4 linked regions of the Canis lupus familiaris genome follow. The protein of the gene in region 1 interacts with the protein of each later gene in a biochemical or structural test. Links are inferred from orthologs where the notes say so. Each region holds a gene or a part of one and is shown on either strand. Other genes may lie near its edges.

Region 1 (6,060 bases):
GCCAACTTCTATGACATTTCCTAAAGGAAGGGCCAGTTAAAAGTTTTTTTTTTTTTTACTCAAGTCAGACACAGATTCCTTACCTTCCTTTCTGCCCATTTAAACTTAGTATTTTTCAAGAAAATAGAACTATGTGGTTCCTTTTTTAAATTTAAGATTTCATTTATTTATTTATTTAACACAGAGAGAGAGAGAGAGAGAGAGAGAGAGCGCGCGCGCTCAATCAGGGGGAGGGGCAGGCAGAGTGAGAGGGAGAAGCAGGCTCCCTGCTGGGGTTTGATCCGAAGACCCTTGGATCATGACCTGAGATGAAGGCAGATGCTTAACCGACTGAGCCACCCAGGTTCCCCAAACTATTTGGTTCTAAAAGTTCTTAGATATGATTTAGACCTGGCCCACCCCTCAGAGAACTTAAGGGACCCCAAGCCCCATACTGGGCTTGAGCCAGATAGAGACATTTGGATGGGTTACTCCACCTCCCAACCAGTTAGCACATTTCCATTTATTTATTTACTTATTTATTTATTTACTTATTTATAATATTTTACTTATTTATTAGAGACACAGGCAGAGGGAGAAGCAGGCTCCATGCAGGGAAGCCGACGTGGGACTCGATCCCGGGTCTCCAGGATCACACCCTGGGCTGAAGGCGGCGCTAAACCGCTGGGCCACCCAGGCTGCCCCCCACATTTCCCTTTAGATGGTGTCCCCATCCCCCTCATCCTGCTTATCCCCCCTCTAACTCCTTTTCTGAACCTGCTCTTAGGTGTTCTAGGAGAAAGGCTGGACACCCGACTGTGGAGAAAACAGTGAAGATTGATTTTGTTGTGTGAAAAGTAAAGACCTACACGCTGAGCCCAGCCCCCTATCTCCCTTGCACCATCTACTTCCCCAGACACTCAGTGTAATCTCTTTTTAGGGGGAGGGGGGAGGGGAGAGGGAATGGGAGAGGAGGAGGGAGGAAGAGAAAGAATAGGAATCTCAAGCTGGCTCCATGCCCAGCACAGAGGTGACGTGGGGCTTGATCTCATGACCTTGAGATCATGACCTGAGATGAAATCAAGTGTAGGACAGACACTAAACTGACTGAGCCACCCAGGCACCCCAGACACTCACTGTAATCTTAAACCAGTTCTTCGAGGTCCCATCCTGGCTGGTGCCAGCCCCTCCTCTCTCTGGAAGAATTCTGTCTCTCCGCACAGTAACATGAATGCGATCTCGATCATGCCAACTGTCACCTCGACGGTTGGGTCGGGGAGGATAGGGGTTGCTGTGGGGAAGCAGAGAATAAAATGTCCGCAAACACTAGGAATGTCTTCTCAAAGGCTTCCCACACTGTTGTCAGGATTATAGCTAAAACTATTTAACCATTAAACTGGCCCTGACATCCCTCACTTTTCCAGGTGAGAAGGGAAATGGTGTGGGCAGCAGAAAGCTATATAAATAAATCTGGTTTGAGCTCTCAAACCAGATCAATTGGTCGCTTACTGTCGTATTCGGGGAACATCCTGGGCATCACTCATTGCCACATCTCTGTCATCTTCCTCCAGGCGGGAAGACCGAATGCCAGAACCTCCTCTTCCAGACCTCCGGTTCCCCTCGCCATACTTCCACCGGAAAGGACCCCGGCCTTTCTTTCTTCTTTGAGGGAAACTAACACGGTCATCATGCTCTGGGGTTAAAAAGGACATCCATTAGAAACATGCTGTCAGCCCAGCTACCCTGCTGTGGGAATCACAGTAGCAAGCAGCCTGTGCTATCAAATGAGATACACACCAACTACAGAGCCCACCTCCATGCAAACTTCTGTCTGTTGAGAGGAGAACCCTCTCTGTGGCATGGCAGCAGGAGCGAAACATCACTGGAAGACAGGGCAGGGCTTTAGAAAAAGGACTCAGGAACTGGAACTTACAGACCGGGAAAGGCACAATGTGGAAGTGTGAGTAGAATATGGACCCAGTGTGGAACTAGACCCCTGAAAAGTCACCTGAAATCTGCTTGCTCTTAGTTTCCCAAATCTATTTAAGCCTTCTCAAAACTTGGATGGTGACCTCGCTCAACATCTCCTAAATCAACCAATCACGACGATCACATCAGCTCTCAGTAAACAAAGCTTCCCTTGCGCAGAGTACAAGCGTCAGTTACAAATAAAATTAAGGGCTTCTTTAAAATTCTTGTTCTCAAACTGCCACTCTGAACTTTTGGGAATGAGCTGTTTATTTCCTTGGCAAAAAATGCTTTTTTAACTTAGGAGACAACTCCTAAGATTCAGGTTCTAGTGGCAACTAGGGAGCTTAGCCAAGGGTCCTGGACTGCTCCCCTGGAACATGACCCTCTGAATCCTGGGGTGTAAGAATAGCATCTTACAAAAAGGTCCCTGACTCCCCAAACGCCTCATGCCTAGTGTTCTGCAAACAATGAACCTTAAGAAATGACGGGGGGCGGGGGGGAGGGCAAAAAACAAAACAAAACACCACAACTGAATATAAGGCGCAGCAAACATTCACTGAGAACTTTCTTCAGTGCCAGGCACTATGCCCCGGGCACTTGATACGAATGATCTCGTTGAACAGGAGGGCAAACCCAGGAAGTAAGTACGGTCACCACCTCCTACGGAGATAGAAAATGAGGCCTGGGAGTGGAATTCCCTCAAGCTCGGGGAAGACGACTCAGGACTCAACCCGGCTGTCATGTGCTCCTCCTCACCACTCCTCCGGACTAAAACCGTGCGTAGTGTTCGGGCGAGCACAGCGAACCGGTGTGGAAGTCTAGAATACTAAAGCCAAAGCCAAGGCCGCAGGGGACGCGGGACAAGAGACCGGACGCGGTGGGAAACGACACAGGGAGCCGATGAGCCGGGCACGGACTCCTATTAAAGGCAGAGTCCGGGCGCCAAATCCAACTGACAGGCATCACCACCCACAAAGTTCAAAGGAATCGCCCCCCCCCGGCCAGGCCGCAGCCCCGGGCCGAAGCTCCGCGCAACGCCACGATTCCCGCGTCAACACGGCCGGCGCCCCGCTCGAGTGCGGCCCGACCCGCAGGCGGCCTCGGCCTCGCCCCCGCCCCTCCCGCGCCGCCGCCCCTCCCGCGCCTCCCGCGCCTCCCGCGCCTCCCGCCCCTCCCGCCGCGGGGCTGCGGCCTACACCGGCGCCGCCCACCGGGCCCCCGATCGCCTCGCCCCCGCCTGACGACCAGCACTGACCGTTGTAGGCCTTCCCCTCGTCCGCCATGGCGCAGCGAGAAGCGAGGCCGGCTCAGGCGCGGGCCGAACTCCGCCGAACGCGCGAACACCCGGGCGCCCGGGCCGAAGCGCTCCTACCGCCGGCGCCGCCGCATTTATGCTGCGAACTACGTCGCGCGCCGCCGACGTCCGCGGTGGTGGGCGGAGCCGCCGGGGAGCGCGGCCGCTGCGCGTGCGCACCGGGCCACAGCCGCGCCGGGGGCGGGGCTCGGCCTCTCCCGGGCCTGCCGAGACCCGCGCTCGTCCAGCCCGCCCCGCGTCGGCCCGCCCCGCCGCCTGCCCCCTCCGTTCCGTCGCTCCGCCAGCACCTCCGGGGCGAGCGCCGGAGCCGAGAGCAGGCTGCCGCAGCCCGGGACTCCGGGAGGAACACGGGAGGGGGCCGCACACGAAGGGCTTCCGAGCAGCGGGCGACCCGACTCTCCCGGAGCGGGGTGGTCAGTGGCCGTTCACGGAGCCCTAGCCGCACACAGCCAGTACTGAAGTCTCAGCCCGGCCTCTGCCAGCGCCGGATAGATACCCTTTCTTGTCTATAGATTGCCGGGCAACAGAAAACTAGAATGTCAACCCCGAGAGAGCAAGGACCTTGACTAATTCATCCTTTTTTCTCCAGCTCCTGGCTCAGGAACTCGGCCTGGCATGTGCCAATAACTCCACAAACACTTGTGATATAAATGAACTTCCAACCTATGCATCCTTCCAAGAAGTCAATTGACAGTGTGCGTTTATCCAGCTTTGGCAAGCAATTGTCTTCACAACCTCCCCACCCACCCCTGAAGTGCTGTGCCGGAAATACATTCACTGTCAGCTGGGCAGTGGAGATGCAACTGAGACCACCAGCTGAACAGAGGCCAGGGAGAGAGGAAATAGTAAAATGCTGGCCTAGAAAAGACATACGTTCTCCTTCCTTTTCCCCTCTCCAGCCTGCCAAAGTTCTAGGGTCAGCTCTCAGTATGCTGGTGGTTCTCTGTAACTTGAAATTCCTTTAGGGTGTGTGAGATGTGGGGGGACCGCAGTAATCTCAGAATGATGTGGTTGTGGCTCCTGGCCCAGAAGTGTATTAATCTCCCTGGAGGGTGGGTGTTGCAGGCAGGTTTCTCCTTCATTCTCCTGTCACTGGCTTGGATTTGGTGAGAGGCTTGGAGTGGACCAAGAGCCTCAGCTGGAGCTGGGAAACCAGTTCTTCACCTTTCACTCCCGGCAGCAGGCAGAGCTCCTGCGTCATCCAGTTCAAGGAAAAATGGGGGCCAGCTGGGTAGAGGATGCAGCTGAAACAGGTACAAGTACTACTGGAGATGATCCTGGAAGTTGGCACCAATCAGGGACCCATTCTGGGGTAGTGCTTCCCCCTCTGACGTTTCCATGCTAATGAAACGCTGCTGCACTTGGTTGTTCCCAGCCCAGAGGCAGCTGTGTGCACCCACCCCAAAGCTCGGCCCTCAGAGCCATCAGCCCAGCTTTGCAGTTCTGGTACTAGGCAGCACACTCACTCCACAGGCTGTGAAGGCCCTCGACGCTCCCACCCAGAAATGACAACATGGCTAATGAGGCTGACAGTCTTGCTGTAATTGGGAGAAAATGGGCTGCAGCGCATTTGGCAGATTGAGAGTCACCAGCAGCCAAAGGTGGGGTTGTGCAGGCAGCTGAGGGGCTCAGGGCCCCCTGCCTCACGTAGTGGAGAGAGGAAGAAGAGAGAGGTCAAATTCTAACCCAGATGGGAAAGTTGGTCCCGGGGGCAGTTTCACTTCCTTTCCTCACTCTCAGGAAGGGGAAGGGCATCATCTCCCCTTGCTGCCAAAGTTTCCTTTGGAAGAGGTTGGGGAGTTTCTAAAAATCTCCTACCTAGTGGAGACAACCTCCCCTACCAGCCCCTAGTTGGCCTCTGCTCCCTTCCAGCCACTTCACAGCAGAGTACACATCCAGAACTGTGTGTGTTTCGAGGGCCTGAGGGTGGTGAGGGGAGGACAGGGTGGCCAGAGTCAAAGGGTCAGGGGCATTGGCCATTCTCAGCAGTCCCAGGGAAACAGGGCCTTCCTCCCAAGCACCCTGCACAGGCTCAGTGGCAGCAATGGCCACCCGCCACCCTCCCAAAGGGGTTCCAAACCCGCTCAGAGTGCCTCAGAGTTGAGAGGGTTCAGGCAAGGAAGACCACAAAGATGATGAAGAAGACAATGAGGATGAGGAAGATTTTGACCATGAGCCACCGGTTAGAGGTGACTGACTGGAAGTACTTGAGGATCTCTGAATGGGCAGCCTCAACATCCAGCTGGGCGCCCAGCACGTTCTCGTCAATCCTGGAGACAGGGCCGAAAGAGGAGGAAACAGAAGGATACTGGGTTAAAAAGTATGCTGTTGAAGTGTATTTACCAACATGGAAAGATGGTCACAATATGTAAAAAGTATTTACATACAATAGGATCCCCATTTTTGTGCATATATACTTGCGTATAGAAAAAGCTCAGTGGCTTTTTCAGCTGGGCATCTGCCTTTGGCTCAGGTCATGACCCTGGAGTCCCAGGATCAAGCCCCGCATTGGGCTCTGTGCTCAAGGAGCCTGCTACTCCCAGTCCCTCCACCTCTCCCTACTCATCCTCTCTCACTCTCTCTCAAATAAATAAAATCTTTAAAAAAGAGAAAATAGAAAAGAAAAAACTCTGGAAGGGTAACGCAAATAAGTCTTCGCTCTGATTTGAAAATCAGCTCTGTAACTCTTTAGCTTGTGATTCTGAGCCAGTCATTTAACCTCCAGACTCATTTTCTTAAGCTGCAGAGGGAAAATGAGGTTAACAACAACACTGCATCTCTAGTTGTTGTAGGCC
Region 2 (6,120 bases), on another chromosome or scaffold:
GAATTTCACTGTAAGAATAACCCCGGTTATTCTGGGCGCTCTCCTGACCCCACAAAAAGCCTGGTCACTTACAGGCCAGAGGGGCCCCTCAGTCCCCCCAGGTCTCATTTTCCTCTTGGGACTGCCCCTGTCCCCCCAAGGGTCAACCTGCTTCTGCTTAAGTTCACTTTGGTTTGGCTAAAAACACAATTCGCTGATGCAAAAGCCTGTTTTTGACTTAAAAATACACTCAAGCAAAAATAAAAAAAGAAAATACACTCAAGCATTTCTACTTCACCAGAACGTGATGGGACAGAGGTGAGACAAAAACCACCAGAGAGGTCTGATAAAACCTGGCGGTGGGCACTCTGTGGCGTGACACAACCACTTTGCTGAAAGGTCAGATGCCTTGAAAAACGAGGGAGAGGAATGGAAGCGCCTGTTCTATATTCACGTTCAACAGCCAGGGCAGGGCTGAGCGAGCACACGCACGGACACCTGAGACAACGTGAGCAAGCACCAGGAATGGGGGGACACTGAGGGCTTATCGTCACGTCCGGTGTGACAGTGCTACACTTAGTGACTGGGCTGGAGGGGAGCCGGGCCCCAGAAGCCACTTCCAAGCCAGGACGTGAACACAGCCCTTAGCAGCGCTTAGCAGCGACGGTGGGCGCTGGCCGAGGGGACGGGCACCCCCACGACAGCCTGCGTGCCCGCTGGAGAATCGTCCCGTGGCGCTCCAGCGTCCCCCGGCCCACGGGCGTCACGGCTGACTGTGAGCACAGTAAAAAGCCACACGGCCCTCTCTTACAGAACTTTCCATGGGCTCCTCACACAATCATGGGCCCAAACCACCTGCCTTTCTTCTGTCAGCTTGTGTTGAGCAGAGTGACCCCAAAACCCAAGCACCTTGCGCAGGTGTTTCCGAGGAGATGCCCTGGCCAGGCCCGCAGGCAAAGCTCGAGGGGGAGGGAGCACAGGGCACACTCACAGTCTGGGCAGCAGCCATTAAAGGCCATCCGGCAGATGCCACAGTTCTCGTCGTTGGCCACCCAGAGCCAAGTAGCCACGCCGTTCCAGCACTTGATCTTCACCTTCATGGCCGCGGAGCCTACAGGGGGAGGAGACATCGCCGGGCCACACTCAGTCTGCACAGCTACCCATCTAGGCACCCAAGGGGCGCGGCTCCCAGCCGAGGGTCAGCCGGGGCCGGACCTGCTGCCAGAGCTCAGAAACCCTGAGAGCTCTGCACCAGCGGCAATGGCAGGGCCCGGGCCACCCTTGGGAGAACAGCGCGCCCCAGAGCCAGAGTTATCGGCGAAGACTGCAGGGTCCGCCCTGCGTCCCCAAAAGGGCACATGGGCTTCGCCAGTAATTCCAAAAACGTACCATACGGGTTTTTTTCAAAGAGATACGACTAAATCGGGGTTGACAAATAGAGACCCCAACCCAGGTGACCACGAGTTCACGCCAGGGAACCACCACCCAGCCCACTAGGCCTGCGCCACCACCCCAGGGTGAGGGTGCAGAGTGGGGGGTGCCGGGCAGGACCCGGGGTTGCGGGGGAAGGGGTGAGGGCAGGAGCATGCAGAAGGAGTGCGCAGAGGCCAGGAGAAAGTGAGGTGCAGGGAGGGACCAGGGTGTGTGGAGAGTGGGATGTGGGGAAGCGGTGGGGGGGGAAGGGCGGAGCGGAAGGCGCAGGGGTGCGAGCAAAGAGTAGGGGAAGGGGTAGGGGTGTGGGGAGAGGGTGGGGTAAGGAGCGGGGGTGCCTGAAGGGGGTAGGGAAGGCGCCGGGGTGCGGGGAGAGGGCAGGGGAGACGCAGGGGTGCGGAGGGAGGCGCAGGAAGTGGTGGGGGAGGTGCGGGAGCGCGGGGAGGGCGCGAGGCCGGGGCGCGGGGAGGGGGGGGGGAGGGGAGGGGAGCCGCCCGCCCCGCCCCGCGGCCCCGCCCACCTGCGCCCCCCGCCGGCCTCCGCGCGCCGACCCCGCCTTCCGTCGGCGGCGCCCGCGTGGGAAGGTATAAAAGCGGCCGCGGCCGCCGCCGGCACCTCAGCTGCGCCCGCCGAGCCCGCCGTCCGGCGCACGCGCCCCCGCTCCCGCCCGCCCTGCCCGCCCTCGCTCCCGCCCGCCGCGGCCAATCCCCGGCGGCCCCGGCCTCGGTCCCGGCAGGCCGCGCGCGGCCCCGGAAGTGACGCGCCGACGTGCTGACGCGCGGGCTCGAGCCGAGGCCGACTCCGCGCCCGCCATGGCCGACAAAATGGACATGTCTCTGGACGACATCATCAAGCTGAACCGGAGCCAGCGAGGCGGCCGCGGCGGAGGTCGGGGCCGCGGCCGGGCCGGCTCCCAGGGCGGCCGCGGTGGCGGGGCGCAGGCCGCCGCGCGAGTGAGCCGGGGCGGCGGGCCCATCCGGAACCGACCGGCCCTCGCCCGCGGCGCGGCGGGCGGCGGCGGCAGGAACCGGCCGGCGCCCTACAGCAGGGTGAGCGGGGCGGCGGGCCGGCGGGCGGGGGCGCGCGGGGGCGCGGGCGGCGGGCCGGGGGGCTCGGGCCGGGCGGGCGGGGGGGCGCGCGGCGGCCGCCCGGGGCGGCGGAGACCCTCCGGGCCTTTGTCTGGGCCGGGCGCTGGGCCTCGTGGCGGCGGCGGGCGTTGGGCGCGGCCGCGCAGGCGGCGGGAAGCGGGTCGGAGGGAGCGGCGGCGCCCGGGACGCCGGGGGGACGGCGGGCGGGGGCGTGCGGGCGCCGCAGGGTCCGCGGGAGACGCTCACGGGCCGCGTGCTCCTGTGCTCTCCTCCCCCCGCAGCCGAAACAACTTCCCGACAAGTGGCAGCACGATCTCTTCGACAGCGGCTTCGGGGGCGGCGCCGGCGTGGAGACGGGTGGGAAACTGCTGGTGTCCAACCTGGATTTCGGAGTGTCGGACGCGGATATTCAGGTGAGGGGCGGGCGTTCGTCGGTGAGCGGGTCACCCGCACCCGGTGGCCCCGTTGAGGACGCGGCCTGAACCGCCCGCGCCGCACCTTAGGGCGGGGAGCCCTAGGGGCCCAGGGGCAGCCGCCGGCCCTCTAAGGGCTGCAGGAGTGCAGAGCGGAGGTCCTGGCCCGGGAAGTGCGGCCGGCAGGTCGGGGTGTCGGAGGTCGGGCCCGGCCTAGCGGGACGAGCTGCCGCTCTTCCTGAGTCGTGCCCCGCGCGGGGGCGCAAACCCCCTGCCGGAGCCCTCGCTCCTGGCGGGAAACCTCGACCTAACCTGAGCGGTTTCTGTTCCTGCCTCGCTTAGGATCTGCGTTTTGTTTACTTTGTGCTTCTTTTAACGGTTTGCTGGGAGGACAGAGATCTTTTTCTGTGGAAGCCTACGGGCAAAGCACAGACGCAGGACGGCGCTGGGCATGCTTTTGTTCCGCTGGCCTTGAGCCCCCGGCTCCATGTCGTACAGGACCTATATCCTGTCTTTCTTCCCCTCTTTTTAGTGGCATGATTCTCAATCCCGACTTTGGTTGAAGCTTCTTTGTTTTCTTTTTGTTGCTGTTGTTGTTGTTTTGGTTTTTGGGGTCTTTTGGTTTTGTTTTTTTGGGGTGTTTTTGTTCTTTTGGGTTTTTTTGTTTGTTTGGATTCCAAAAGCATATAAACTTGTTTTTTGATTAAGTAAAGACATTTTGGGGATCAGTCCCAGAGATGGCTGGGTCAGGGTGCTGGGCCTTCCTGGGTTCAACTTCCCCAGAGCCCAGCTGTTTGACTACCGTGGGAGGACAGAGCAAGGCCGGTGAGCACTCACGGTGTCTCAACACTTTTTTTAAGGTGGTTTCTGGCATCCACTGGAAACCGCTTTTGGTGAACTCCACTTCCCGCTGTGTGCCTGCGGCCGGAGTAGCCCCACACTCTGGGTTCCCTCTCCAACTCCCAGCCTGCCTGAGGTCAGGGCAGTTTCCATGGCAGCGCTTGACTTCAGCCTTTGCGGCAGGCTTGAGTAGGAGGAGAGGGAAAGGTGAGCCAGAATCTGCCCTGGGGGAGGGGCTGGGTCAGGGCTCCCGAATCGACGGGCCCTGTGAGCTGGTGTCCACATGTCGGATAGCATCCCTTGCTCTGTGATCTTGGCCTTTGCGGTTTCTTGGTACAGTCCTTGGGTGTGTTGTCAGTTTTCCTCTGTTGAAGAAGATAGCGACTTAATCTTGTTCCCTTCACTGGCGGGTTCTGTGGTCCTTTACCTGCATCCTGGTACTGATGTAAGGTCCCCACACTGGCAGGAGCCCTCAGACCCAGCTGCTCCGGGAAGTGGCTGTCCCATCTGCCCCTCCCTCCCCGTGGTTTCCACTACCAGTGCCCTGCCCCAATACGTGTCTGCCTCCCAGGGAAATAACCCCCCCTCAGCAGCTCACCCTCCCAGGGACTGTCCTGGGCCACAGGAAGGGAAGCACCTCACTAACAGCTGCTCTTTCCGGCCCCCAGGAACTCTTTGCTGAATTCGGAACTCTGAAGAAGGCAGCTGTACACTATGACCGCTCCGGGCGCAGTTTAGGAACAGCCGATGTGCACTTTGAACGGAAGGCAGATGCCCTAAAAGCTATGAAACAGTACAACGGCGTCCCTCTGGATGGTGCGTCTGAGGTTGGACCCGGATGCTAGAGGGGCTGCGTCTCGTGGAGTCGGGCTGGCCGCTATCCGTGCAGGAGTATGGCTTACCCCTGTGGCTGAGGACACTTTGCATTCGCCCCTTTGTCTCTCTCTTCCATTCCGCCACCTCTCATGCTGCCCCACACATCCGGACCAACCTCTTGTGAACCCCCATCCAGCAAGCTACACCCTCCCCTCCTTCAGCTCCTTCCGGAAGACTCACTTCTGTGAAGCCTTCTCAGAACCGCCATAGTACACCTCTGAGTGCGGGGCTGTAGTCGTAAAGACAAAGGTACCGGTTCTTCTTCCGTCAGGCCACCCACACCTTTCCACCCATGAGCACCCCGGACACCTGACCAGACACCCAGCTAACTGGACTGAGAAGGAGCGAGGAGGTTTTGGTGGGGTTGTCATTGGCACCATCTCGTTCTCCCACCAGTAGTGCTCGGCCACTCCCCTTGTTGGGAGCATTTGGAGACACAGCCCCTTTCCAGTGCTTGCATGGAGACCGGGGTGTGGTGCCCCTCGGCGCGTTTCGAGCCCTCTAACTGCATGTGTCCTCTTGTATTCTTTGCCACAGGCCGCCCCATGAACATTCAGCTTGTCACGTCACAGATTGACACACAGCGGAGACCCGCGCAGAGGTGAGTTCTGGGGTCTTTGGGACGGTGCTGACCTGTGGTAAGTGGGCGCTCACCCCATGGGCCTTTGAACATCACGTGAGTGAGTCCCCTCTACCTTGGCAGCGTAAACAGAGGTGGGATGACTAGAAACCGTGGCTCTGGAGGTTTCGGTGGTGGCGGCGGCACCAGGAGAGGCACTCGTGGAGGGAGCCGGGGCAGAGGTCGAGGCACTGGCAGGAGTTCGAAGCAGCAGCTTTCTGCAGAGGAGTTGGATGCCCAGCTGGATGCTTATAACGCAAGAGTAAGTCACAGACGAGGGTTGGGGAGGGCAAGAATTGACTGGAAGCGTGAGGGCTCTTGTTGAGCGGAAGTTTCTGTGTTTCAGATGGACACCAGCTAAAGAGACCAGCAGATCCTCAAGTGGAGCAGGACCCAGATGTCTCCTCCGTGCTCCCTGGCGGGAGGGGGCGGTGGACTGGGGGCTGTGCAGCCAATGATGGATTTGTTTCTTTTATGTTTTAAGATAGGATTTAAAAACTCATGTAAAGGTTTTTTTTTTTTTTCTCTCCTTTTTTTCTTTTTTTTTTTTAATTCTGAAGCAGCCCTGTTTTGTACCGAGTTATTTTTGGGATAAATGTTACCGGTTGCCGTTGTGGGGAAGGTGGCGTTTTCACCTTTGCCATAATAAAAGAGACATGTGTGGAACTAGAGTTCTGTGGCTCATCCCCTGTCGCAGTCCTTGCTTGGGCCACAGCTGTGGTGTCGGGGGCTGACGAGCGTGGGGAGCAGTCTCCCCTGGTAGCTGGAGTCTGCTCGGGAGGGAGATGGCTGCTGCTCCGCCAGGCCTGACTCCTTCCTCTCCCACCTGGTGGATGCGCCTACCTAGCTGCCTGTACCAGGAAGTGACAGGGTG
Region 3 (5,484 bases), on another chromosome or scaffold:
TCCCTGAAACTGTTTTCTAAAGAAAGGTTCCTAGTCAAGTTAGGTTTGAGAAATACACACGATTGTATGTCACAGGCTCTAAGAACTTGCAAAATAATTAAGTCGAATAATCAAATCTTAATCCAAACTTAACCACAGAACCTTTTTTTTTTCTTTTAAATGTTATTTATTTATTCATGAGAGACATACAAAGAGAGAGAGAGAAAGGCAGAGACACAGGTAGAGGGAGAAGCAGGCTCCATGCAGGGAACGCAACGTGGGACTCGATCCCAGGTCTCCAGGATCCTGCCCTGGGCTGAAGGTGGCGCTAAACCAATGAGCCACTGGGGCTGCCCAGAACCTTCTTTTCATACAGCACTCGTTAACATACTTCATTACGAAAGGCATTCCATAAAATGTATTCTGAGGAAAGGCTTATTTAATGCATTTTTCTTTTATTCTATACAAAACCCAACATGGAAAGAACCTGCCTTGATTACAAAGTAATTCAGTGATAGAGGCAAAGCTGTAACTCCAAACTCATCTTTCTTTTTTGTTTTTTTAAAGATTTATTTATTTTAGAGAAAGAAAGAAAGTATGAGTGTAAGAAGGGCAAAGGGAGAGACAGAATCCCAAGCAGACTCCCCATTGAACACAGAACCTAACTCGGGGCTCAATCCTATGACCCTGAGATCATGACCTGATCTGAAATCAATAGTTGGATGCTTAACCAGCTAAGCCACCCAGGCACCCTGGCAATGGAATTTTAAATTGAAAAGTGACAAATAAGGTCAATGAGAAAACTAAGAACAATAAAAAAATTTAGACTGGGTATTTGAAAATAGATGTAGTATCATAATAAATTTGTGTAGATACACACACACAAATATAGATACTTGGATTCTTAACATGAAAATATAAATTTGTTCCCTTAGGGCACTAAGTGGCCAGAAGATATATATGAAGGCAACAAGATAATTACAGAAAAACTTCAGACACTTCAAGAGTAACTATAAAACAACCCAAATGTTCACTAACAGAGATTAGATAAACCAAGTATGGCATACATTTATAATGGACTATTATTCAGCAATAAGAAAGAATGAACCAGGACATCTGGGTGGCTCAGTGGTTGAGTGACTGCCTTTGGTTGGGGGCATGATCCTAGGGTCTTGGGATCGAGTCCCACATTGGTCTCCCTGCAGGGAGCCTGCCTCTCCCTCTGCCTATGTCTCTCTCTGTCTCTCATAATTCATTGAAATAAACTTAAGACCTGTGTCCTTCACTACATATACATTATATCTTGGTTAAAAAAAAAAAAAAAAAAAAGAATGTGATTACATTCATGAAAACCCAAATAAGATATGTCAACACAGAAAAAGACAAGCCAAGTGCCTGACCAGCTCAGGTGGTGGAAAATGTAACTCTTGATCTCAGGGTTAAGTTTGGGCCTCACACTGGGTGTAGAGATTACTTGAGAATGAATGAATGAGTGAATGAATGAATGAATAAATTTAAAAATGCAAGTTTTAAGTGACCAATCGACATACTATAATCTTGTAGTTTATATTATGTGTTTCATGGATTCATTGGGAAAAAAACTAAGCAGTTCACTGTTGAGGAGAAAAAAAGCAAAGCACAGAACTGAGGTAATAATAATTAACCAGAGCAACTGATACCATTTGAATGCCTATACATTTCAGGCATTATGGTTTATATACTAATCTAATTGAAACCTCAAAAACCTTATATGATAATTATCAGTATTATTTTAATTAAAAAGCTAATAAGCAATCTATCTGAGTTTATAAAGCTAGGTAAAGTATAACGATAGTCTCTCTGGCTATAAAATTTGGGATCTTTATACCAGGATAACTAATGACATGAATTTTAACCACTCCAAAGGCAGAAAAAGTATGTGAATTAGGAATCAAAGCGTAAGTGAATAGTGTTTAAATGTTACCATCTATAAACATAATAAAATCATTTAAGATCTCTGGTAGCTGACTTCCACTAAATTGAGTATCTGTGACAAATAAGAGGTGTCAAATGACTGGTAAAAGATTACCCATGTACCAATCTGAATCTGACCTGCTGGATGCATATGGTAAGTATTATTTTCTATTTCTTCTCGGTCATCCTGAAGTGACTCCTCATGAAAAGAGGTCTCTTCACTGCTTCCTTCCAGCCCATTTCGCAAAGCAGCACGCATGTTTAATGCAACAATAGTATCATCCACACTGCTACTGCTGTTGTGTTTATTTCCAGCACTCTCTGGGGTTTGAGGAATGGGTTTGGCAATAGGGTTAGTATAAAAACGTGACACAAGAGAATCATCATCTCCATCCTGCTGATGGTTGTCTTCGACAGGTTTGCTCAGGAAGCTGAATCTGAAAAGGTAGAAAAGAAACAGTATCTCAGTCCTTTATAACAATGATAACAGCCAACCCTCACTAAATCTTTACTGAGTGATTGGCACCATTCTAGGTGCTCGAAATCCCTTCAAAGTGAGAACAGGGCTCTCTACCAGAAACAACTCGAAACAAAATTTGGTTTACCTCTCCCCATTTTCCGGATAATCAGATGGTGAAGCTAGATCTTCTGAGTCACGATTAACAGGAGAGAAGAGATTGCTATTGTTAAGGTTTTTCAAAACCAACTTCTTAATGCTCTTCCTATAAATAGAGACCAAAAGAGGAAAAAAAAAAATTTCAGGTACACATAATTACATCACAAGCATTATCTTAAAAACTAGAGTCAAAAAGAACATTCTTGTTCAGCTCTTACGTATCTAAAAATTACCTAACAAGTCAATTCACAATGTTTAATACATAACCAGAACCTAAGGTCTCAAATATATTATACTATGGCATTTGAAAGAATAAGCTAAACACATTTAAAATAAAGTGGGAAATCTCCTTGAGGACATTCTTCTCTGAACCCTGAGCACTTTATCCAAATACTTATTTAACCCATCACACTATGTCTTGTATTTCAATTATTTCTGTGTATGTCTTCTCTCTTTAAACATTTTCTTCCTTTTTTGACAGTAAGGATTCACGACTGTCTCCTCACAGAACCTGACATGCTGCCTTGAAGAAAATAGGAAGGATACATTTGCTGACTAAATAAGATTTCTTTTTAAAGATGACAAAAAGAGGGGCAGCCCGGGTGGCTCAGCGGTTTAGCGCTGCCTTCAGCCCAGGGCATGATCCTGGAGACCCAGGATCTAGTCCCAGGTCAGGCTCGCTGCATGGAGCCTGCTTCTCCCTCTGCCTGTGTCTCTGCCTCTCTCTCTCTGTCTCTCATGAATAAATAAATAAAATCTTAAAAAAAAATAATAAAGATGACAAAAAAAAAAAAACCAAAACAGGACCGAAAAACCCTGAGAGCCAATAATGCAAATAATTGCAAATACCTTAAAATTTCAGGTGTGCATACAGCAGATTTATTTAAGACAAGAACCTCTATCGTATATAAGCTTCAAACAGAAGAAACAGAGATCATCTTATCTTACTCAACCTCCACTTAAAAACCCCCTGGATTAATTCATGTGCCCAATCCTTCTTTCATAAACAAACTACAATGGGTGATGAAGTCAGTTAAGCATCTGACTTTTGATTTTGGCTTGGGTCCTGATATCAAGGTCTTGAGATTGAGCCCTGTGTCAAGCTCTCCACCCAGCTTGGAGTCTGCCTGGGACTCTCTCTCCCTCTCCCTCTGCCCCTCTCCGCTGCATGTGCTCCTTCTCTCTCAAATAAATAGATACATCTTTTAAAATAATTAATTAATTAGTTAATTAACAAGTAGTAGACCACTCTTGTATATTTATTTCTAATCTCAACAACTGAGTTATGGTTAATCATCAGTAGCATTTGTTACAAACACACATATGCTAGTTATACTCATTATAATCATGTAATATTTATTAAATTAGCCAATGAAATAAGCACTTGACAGTAAGGAATTAGTATTTCTGTGAAAATTAAAACTTGCTTTCCTATCAATGACGGACTGGGTAATGCAAACCGATCCTCCTAGGACTAGGAGGAGCCAGAGCTCTCAAACTAGGAGAGCCAGAGCTCTCTATAAAGCAAACAAAATAGTAAAAAAAGATTGAGCCAGCACTAAGGGGCACTGGCACAGGGGCATGTCTGTTATTTAGGGTTGCTTTTCTCCTGGGGGCTTTTCTGATTCTAAGAGGAAGGTTAAGGGGCGCCTAGGTGGCTTCATCGGTTAAGTGTCTGCATTTGGCTCAAGTCATGATCCCATGGTCCTGGAATTGAGCCCTACCTCTGACTCCCTGCTCAGTGGGGAGACTGCTTCTGCATCTGCCCTTTTCCCCCGCTCATACTTTCTCTTTTTCAAATAAATACACAAAACCTTTAAAAAAAAATAAGAGGAAGGTTATGAAGTTGATGGTATGCTTGACAGTCTTCATGGACTAGAGAGACAGACACTGGAGCCTAGAGCCACCAAGAGGTTAAGGGCACTAGTGAATGCCACTTGCTCTGTGTTGGGACCTGGAAAAACTCTACTCCTCAAGTTTAGAGAGAACTAAAAGTAAAAAACATAAAATCACAAGTTTAGCTTTGATTCTATCATCAAGCACCTATCATAAAAAAGCAAAAATTCTCTTAAAAGTCAGTATCATCTTTGACCTCTATTGCCACAGTTTTGAGAATATATTAACAGACATAAAATAATTTTTAAAAAGACACAGAGACACAAAATATTTCTTCAAAGAAGATAAATGGCCAATAAGCAAATGATAAGATGTTCAACATTATTAGTCATAAAGGAAAGAAATACCTCATAGAAAGAGATATCTCATAAAGCATGAGATACCACTTCACACCCACTAGGGTGGCTGTTATAAGCAAACAAAAGAAAAAATACTAGGTGCTGACAAGAAAATGGAGAACATGGAAACATGCATTACTGTTGGGAATGTAAAATGGTGCAACTGTTACAGGAAAACAGTTGACAGTTCCTCAAAGGTTAAACATAGGATTTATGTATGACCAAACAATTCTAATCATAGATATATACCCAAAATAACTGAAAATAGGGAGTCAAACAGATACTCGTACATCATGGGATCCCTGGATGGTTCAGCGGTTTAGTGCCTGTCTTCAGACCAGCGCATGATCCTGGAGTCCCGGGATCAAGTCCCACATCAGGCCCTATATGGAGCCTGCTTCGCCCTCTGCCTGTGTCTCTGCCCGCCCCCTCTGTGTCTCTCATGAATAAATAAAATCTTAAAAAAAAAAAAAAAAAAAAAAAAAAAAAAAAAAAAAAAAAAAAAAAAAAAAAAAAAAAAAAAAAACCTCGTACATCGATGTTCATGATGGCACTATCCAGGTAGCTAAAAGGTAGAAACAATCCAAACATCCACCAACAGATGAATAGATAAACAAAATGTATTATCCATAAAATAGAGTATTATTCAAGCTCAAAAAGTGAAGTTTTTGTTTTTTTAAGATTTCATTTATTTATTTGAGA
Region 4 (6,143 bases), on another chromosome or scaffold:
GAGCCTGGTTTATTTGGATTGGCTATTATATTAAATAATCAGATAAGAACTTAACTTCAATTTTGTGTTGTATTTAATATAACCTTGAAAGAGATTAAAATCCCCTAACCATGTAAAGCTTTTTGTCTTGTGCTTTTACAAATAATATGTTGGCTGTTGTTGTCTTTACTCCCTAACATATAAATTTTTATCTTTAAATATCATTTCTCCCTAAAAGGAATCAGATCTCCTTGGAGAAATGGCTAATTTCATGTCTGGGGCAGGAAATGTACCAGATAAGCCTGGAACAAAATAACGAGGGGGAAGAGTGGGAAGAGAATGTATGCTAAACAAGATTGACATGGGTTGCTAATTGTTGAAATGGGGTGTTGGGTACATGGGAGACCTTTATATTCTTTTTTTTTTTTTTAAAGATTTTTAAAAAGTTATTTATTCATGAGAGACACAGAGAGGGAGGCAGAGACCCAGGCAGAGGGAGAAGCAGGCTCCACGCCGGAAGCCCCACGCGGGACTCGATCCCGGGCCCCGGGGTCACGCCCTGGGCCGAAGGGTAGTTAGTTGCTCAACCACTGAGCCCCCCAGGCGGCCCAGTATTCTATTTTTTTTAATTTTTATTTATTTATGATAGTCACAGAGAGAGAGAGAGAGAGAGAGGCAGAGACACAGGCAGAGGGAGAAGCAGGCTCCACGCACCGGGAGCCCGACGTGGGATTCGATCCCGGGTCTCCAGGATCGCGCCCTGGGCCAAAGGCAGGCGCCAAACCGCTGCGCCACCCAGGGATCCCCCAGTATTCTACTTTTTTATTTTTTTCTATAAAAGTAGTTTAAAGGAATCTAAAAATAATTGCTATTTTAAGAAAACGAGATGGTAATAACATACACGTGGTAAAACAAGTTTCCTTTTAATAGAAGAAATGCTAGAATGACATGCAATGACAAGCTGAGTCTCCCGCCAGACCGTCCAGCCCCGTCTCAGGGCGATCTTAGTGGCCACTCCCTAAGTACCGCCGTGAAGTTTCTATGGAAAAATCAACAAAAACACAGGCAGCGCCGCCGCCATGTCCCGTGGAGAACCCCCCGCGGCAGTACGTCCCACACCCTGGCCCACTCGCGGGCTTTGGCAGCTGGTCCTGGCACGCGGGGGAGCGTGCGCCCGCTGCCGCGACGTCCTCACACCAGGCTTCCTCCATCCGAGCAAGAAGCGAAATCCCTATCGCTTCCCTCGACGTCATGCGGGGAAGGGGGGCGAAGGCAGAGCCGGACTCTGCAGCCCCGGCCCTGACGCGGCTCCCAAGCTCGGGTTCGGGCAACAGCCGTGTCCCCCGAGAAGGGCCTCGGGGTAGGCGGGTAGGCGGCGGGGAGGGCCGGCCCGGGCTTCCTGGCCCCCCCTCCCCCCCTCCCCCGACGCCCGAGCACCTGCTCCGGCTGCCGGACTCACCTCACGACGGGCGGGCCCCGGGGGGTCGGCGAGGCGGCGCGAGGAGCCGCGGGGCGCACGCCCACGGCTGCACGCGGACGTCGGCCCTCGCCCGGTGACGGGGCGCGACGTAGGAAGAGCGAACCGACCGACGTCGCCGGGCGGCGGGGAGCGCCCAGGAGGCCGGCCCGGGCGAGCCCCACGGCCTGCGGCGCTCTCCGGCTGCCGCGGCCGGCCTCCTGGGGACCGCGCCCCGAGGGCTCGGTCCCCGCACAGGCCCCGAGCGGGCGGCCCAGGCACACCCACGGACGCCGCGGGACCCCATAAGTGCCCCGTAAATGCCCGTGGACGGAACGCCGCGAGCGGCCGGGGGCGGAGCCAGCGCCGTGTCAGCCTCTCGCGACGTCCCGGTGACGCCGCACGGCGAGCGCGCGGTCCGCTCTTTCACCTTCAGTCAGCCTCCTCCGTGTACGGCCTGCCCCTTTAAGCGGATGACGGACAGCTATTTCAGCCTATCAACTCCCTCGTCAGCATCCAATCAGATTTAAACTTCTTACAGCCGTCCGAGGAGTTGGAAGAAGAGGTCGAGAAAGGGAGCGCTTTCTGTCTCTCGCGAGAATGTTGTAAGCGGGCCTCTCAGGAAAAGCGCCAGAACAGATGGCCCGACTTCCCAAATAGTGAGTTAAAGGACGGGGTCGGAAACCAATGAAAGGAATGAGGAGGTGGGATCACCGCTTTTACCGCGCCAGAAGTACCGTTACAGGGCAGACTTTTCGCCCAATCAGCGCCTCCCGAGTTTGGGTCAGGTGACCCTACAGTGCGAGGGGCGGAGCTGCGGCCTGGCGCGAGGAGCCGTTAAGATGGACAACAAATACGACCAATGAGGTACTCGGACCCGGGCGTTGGGAGCCCAATAACAGCGGGCGGGCGGGCGCCTTTCCGGAGCGCGGGGAGATGTGAAGACGGACGGGACGTTTTCCCAATGAGCCTGTAGCAGAGAGGAGCCAGCTGACCAATGAGGGCCGCGGGGCGGGAGCCTCTGCCGCGGCGGAGTCCAAGATGGCGGCGTGCGGTTCCGCTGTGTGAAACGAGCGCGGGGCGGCGGGCTCAGCATCTCCGCGGAGACGACCTCCGGCGACCCGCAACAATGAAGGGGAAGGAGCGCTCTCCGGTCAAGCCCAAACGCTCCCGCGGTGGTGAGGACTCGACTTCCCGCGGGGAGCGGAGCAAGAAGTTAGGGGGCTCTGGTGGCAGCAATGGGAGTAGCAGCGGAAAGACCGACAGCGGCGGCGGGTCGCGGCGCAGCCTCCACCTGGACAAGTCCAGCAGCCGAGGCGGCAGCCGCGAGTATGACACCGGCGGGGGCAGCTCCAGTGGCCGCCTGCACAGTTACAGCTCCCCGAGCACCAAAAATTCCTCGGGCGGGGGCGAGTCGCGCAGCAGCTCCCGGGGTGGAGGCGGGGAGTCACGTTCCTCCGGGGCCGCCTCCTCAGCTCCCGGCGTTGGGGACGGCGCGGAGTACAAGACGCTGAAGATCAGCGAGTTGGGGTCCCAGCTGAGTGACGAGGCGGTGGAGGACGGACTGTTTCACGAGTTCAAGCGCTTCGGTGATGTAAGTGTCAAAATCAGTCATCTCTCGGGCTCTGGCAGCGGGGATGAGCGAGTAGCCTTTGTGAACTTCCGGCGGCCAGAGGACGCGCGGGCGGCCAAGCATGCCAGAGGCCGCCTGGTGCTCTATGACCGGCCGCTGAAGATCGAGGCGGTGTACGTGAGCCGCCGCCGCAGCCGCTCCCCCTTAGACAAGGATCCCTACCCGCCGTCGGCTGGCGTGGTGGGCGCCTCCGTGGGCGGACACCGGCACCCCCCTGGAGGCGGCGGCCAGAGATCGCTTTCCCCTGGTGGCGCGGCCCTGGGGTACCGAGACTACCGGTTGCAGCAGCTGGCTCTTGGCCGCCTGCCCCCCCCGCCTCCGCCACCGTTGCCCCGTGAGCTGGAGAGAGAGCGAGACTATCCGTTCTATGAGAGAGTGCGCCCGGCGTACAGCCTGGAGCCCAGGGTGGGAGCTGGAGCAGGTGCTGCTCCTTTCCGAGAAGTGGATGAGATCTCACCCGAGGACGATCAGCGAGCTAACCGGACGCTTTTCTTGGGCAACCTAGACATCACTGTGACAGAGAGTGACCTAAGAAGGGCTTTTGACCGCTTTGGAGTCATCACAGAGGTAGATATCAAGAGGCCCTCTCGGGGCCAGACCAGTACCTATGGCTTCCTTAAATTTGAGAACCTAGACATGTCTCACCGGGCCAAACTAGCAATGTCTGGCAAGATCATTATTCGGAATCCTATCAAAATTGGTTATGGTAAAGCTACACCCACCACTCGCCTCTGGGTAGGTGGTCTGGGACCTTGGGTGCCTCTTGCTGCCCTGGCACGAGAGTTTGACCGATTTGGCACCATCCGCACTATAGACTACCGCAAAGGTGATAGTTGGGCATATATCCAGTATGAAAGCCTGGATGCAGCTCATGCTGCCTGGACCCATATGCGTGGCTTCCCACTTGGTGGCCCAGATCGTCGCCTTAGAGTAGACTTTGCAGATACAGAACATCGTTACCAGCAGCAGTATCTGCAGCCTTTGCCCTTAACTCATTACGAGTTGGTGACAGATGCTTTTGGACATCGGGCACCTGACCCTTTGAGGGGTGCTCGGGATAGGACACCACCCTTACTCTACAGAGATCGTGACAGAGACCTTTATCCTGACTCTGACTGGGTGCCACCCCCGCCCCCAGTTCGTGAACGCAGCACTAGGACTGCAGCTGCTGCTGTGCCTGCTTACGAGCCCCTGGATAGCCTGGATCGCAGGCGAGATGGCTGGTCCTTGGACCGGGACAGAGGTGAGCGAGATCTGCCCAGCAGCAGAGACCAGCCTAGGAAGCGAAGGCCGCCCGAGGAGAGTGGGGGCCGGCACCTGGATAGGTCCCCTGAGAGTGACCGTCCCCGAAAACGTCACTGTGCTCCTTCTCCCGACCGCAGCCCGGAATTGAGCAGTAGCCGGGATCGCTACAACAGTGACAATGATCGATCTTCTCGTCTTCTTATCTTGGAAAGGCCCTCTCCAGTCAGAGACAGGCGAGGAAGTTTGGAGAAGAGCCAGGGTGACAAGCGAGACCGTAAAAACTCTGCATCAGCTGAACGGGATAGAAAGCACCGGACAACTGCTCCCACTGAGGGAAAAAGCCCTCTGAAAAAAGAAGACCGGTCTGATGGGAGTGCGCCTAGCACCAGCACTGCTTCCTCAAAGCTGAAGTCCCCTTCCCAGAAACAGGATGGTGGGACAGCCCCCACCACTGCAGCCTCTCCCAAGCTCTGTTTGGCCTGGCAGGGCATGCTTCTATTGAAGAACAGCAACTTTCCTTCCAACATGCATCTGTTGCAGGGTGACCTCCAAGTGGCTAGTAGTCTTCTTGTGGAGGGCTCAACTGGAGGCAAAGTAGCCCAGCTCAAGATCACTCAGCGTCTTCGTTTGGACCAGCCCAAGTTGGATGAAGTAACTCGACGCATCAAAGTGGCAGGTCCCAATGGTTATGCCATTCTCCTGGCTGTGCCTGGAAGTTCTGACAGCAGGTCCTCCTCTTCCTCAGCCACATCAGACACTGCCACCTCTACTCAGAGGCCACTTAGGAACCTTGTGTCCTATTTAAAGCAAAAGCAGGCCGCTGGGGTGATAAGCCTTCCCGTGGGGGGCAACAAAGACAAGGAAAACACCGGGGTCCTACATGCTTTCCCACCCTGTGAGTTCTCCCAGCAGTTCCTGGATTCCCCTGCCAAGGCACTGGCCAAATCTGAAGAAGATTACCTGGTCATGATCATTGTCCGTGGTGCGTCCTAAAGTCCATGTATAACTTGTATTTACTACTTTGACATGGTTCCTGTTTTGTGATGTGTAATGGGATACAGCATCAGATGAAATTTTCTTTTGAGTTAGTTTGTTTAGTTGAAGCTTTTTTTCTTTTTTTTATATTTTTATAAACCTTTGAAATAGAAGACAGGACAGTTTAGCTATTAAGTGAAAGGGATGCCCTGAAGGTAGCAGGCAGATGGATTTATTTTAATTAGGAGTTCCTACTCTTAGTAACTTCTTTTCCCCTTCTTTTTCTTGTTGTGTTTTTTTTCCCCCCCCTTAACCTTGAGCTTAAAAAAAATCCTCAGAGTTACAAACCCAAAATTTTGAAAAGTCAGGATTCGGAGAAAAGCCCACTGACTATATAAAGAAGATAATATACATCTAAAAAGGGCTTGATTGGTATGTAGGTAAATAATTCTTGTACCAGAAATATCATTTGTGTGGCTGAAATTTGATCAGGAATCTTAAAAGTACAAGCTGGTAAATTGTATAGCAATATTAATTATTTTAATCAGGTATTTGAGTATTTCTCTTGATATACATGGTTTATTCCCGGAGAGTTTGCTTTAACATAAACCTTTTTATCATTAGTTCTTAAGTTCTGTATCCCGTATATGCACTTTTGGTTTGTAGCTGTAACTGTTCAGTAAAAATCGAGGAGTAGGTTACAAACCATATATGTCTTATGCTAGTATGCAAGAAGTGAGTAGGTGTTTTTAAAATCAGAATTCTTTGGTTATTGGTGTGTGGTGGTGTTTTTACTGACTTTCAGAGAGGTATAGCAGGTACAGTTCTAATTTGTGCATATTTCAAAACTTTAGT

What was found.
Region 2: the proteins of NXF1 (region 1) and ALYREF form a complex in vitro, tested with the Homo sapiens proteins (2 studies listed by BioGRID and IntAct). The link is inferred for Canis lupus familiaris from reciprocal best matches to the Homo sapiens genes NXF1 and ALYREF.
Region 3: the proteins of NXF1 (region 1) and NUP98 form a complex in vitro, tested with the Homo sapiens proteins (5 studies listed by BioGRID and IntAct). The link is inferred for Canis lupus familiaris from reciprocal best matches to the Homo sapiens genes NXF1 and NUP98.
Region 4: the proteins of NXF1 (region 1) and RBM15 form a complex in vitro, tested with the Homo sapiens proteins (2 studies listed by BioGRID). The link is inferred for Canis lupus familiaris from reciprocal best matches to the Homo sapiens genes NXF1 and RBM15.

The regions. Positions count from the first base shown.
Region 1 is NC_049239.1:54,401,617-54,407,676, reverse strand, and holds the start of NXF1 (nuclear RNA export factor 1), read right to left. Parts: upstream 3,367-6,060; 5' UTR 3,234-3,366; coding exon 3,206-3,233; intron 1,673-3,205; coding exon 1,489-1,672; intron 1,271-1,488; coding exon 1,117-1,270; intron 1-1,116. Other genes in the region: STX5 (syntaxin-5), read right to left, coding at 5,376-5,535.
Region 2 is NC_049230.1:1,220,636-1,226,755, forward strand, and holds ALYREF (THO complex subunit 4), read left to right. Parts: upstream 1-2,207; 5' UTR 2,208-2,222; coding exon 2,223-2,459; intron 2,460-2,779; coding exon 2,780-2,911; intron 2,912-4,419; coding exon 4,420-4,567; intron 4,568-5,164; coding exon 5,165-5,228; intron 5,229-5,330; coding exon 5,331-5,508; intron 5,509-5,592; coding exon 5,593-5,607; 3' UTR 5,608-5,917; downstream 5,918-6,120. Other genes in the region: ANAPC11 (anaphase-promoting complex subunit 11), read right to left, coding at 971-1,079. UniProt on the Homo sapiens protein: Functions as an mRNA export adapter; component of the transcription/export (TREX) complex which is thought to couple mRNA transcription, processing and nuclear export, and specifically associates with spliced mRNA and not with unspliced pre-mRNA.
Region 3 is NC_049242.1:26,404,348-26,409,831, forward strand, and holds part of NUP98 (nuclear pore complex protein Nup98-Nup96), read right to left. Parts: intron 2,655-5,484; coding exon 2,538-2,654; intron 2,370-2,537; coding exon 2,071-2,369; intron 1-2,070. UniProt on the Homo sapiens protein: Plays a role in the nuclear pore complex (NPC) assembly and/or maintenance. NUP98 and NUP96 are involved in the bidirectional transport across the NPC. May anchor NUP153 and TPR to the NPC.
Region 4 is NC_049227.1:42,106,829-42,112,971, reverse strand, and holds the start of RBM15 (RNA-binding protein 15), read left to right. Parts: upstream 1-2,100; 5' UTR 2,101-2,432; coding exon 2,433-5,295; intron 5,296-6,143. UniProt on the Homo sapiens protein: RNA-binding protein that acts as a key regulator of N6-methyladenosine (m6A) methylation of RNAs, thereby regulating different processes, such as hematopoietic cell homeostasis, alternative splicing of mRNAs and X chromosome inactivation mediated by Xist RNA.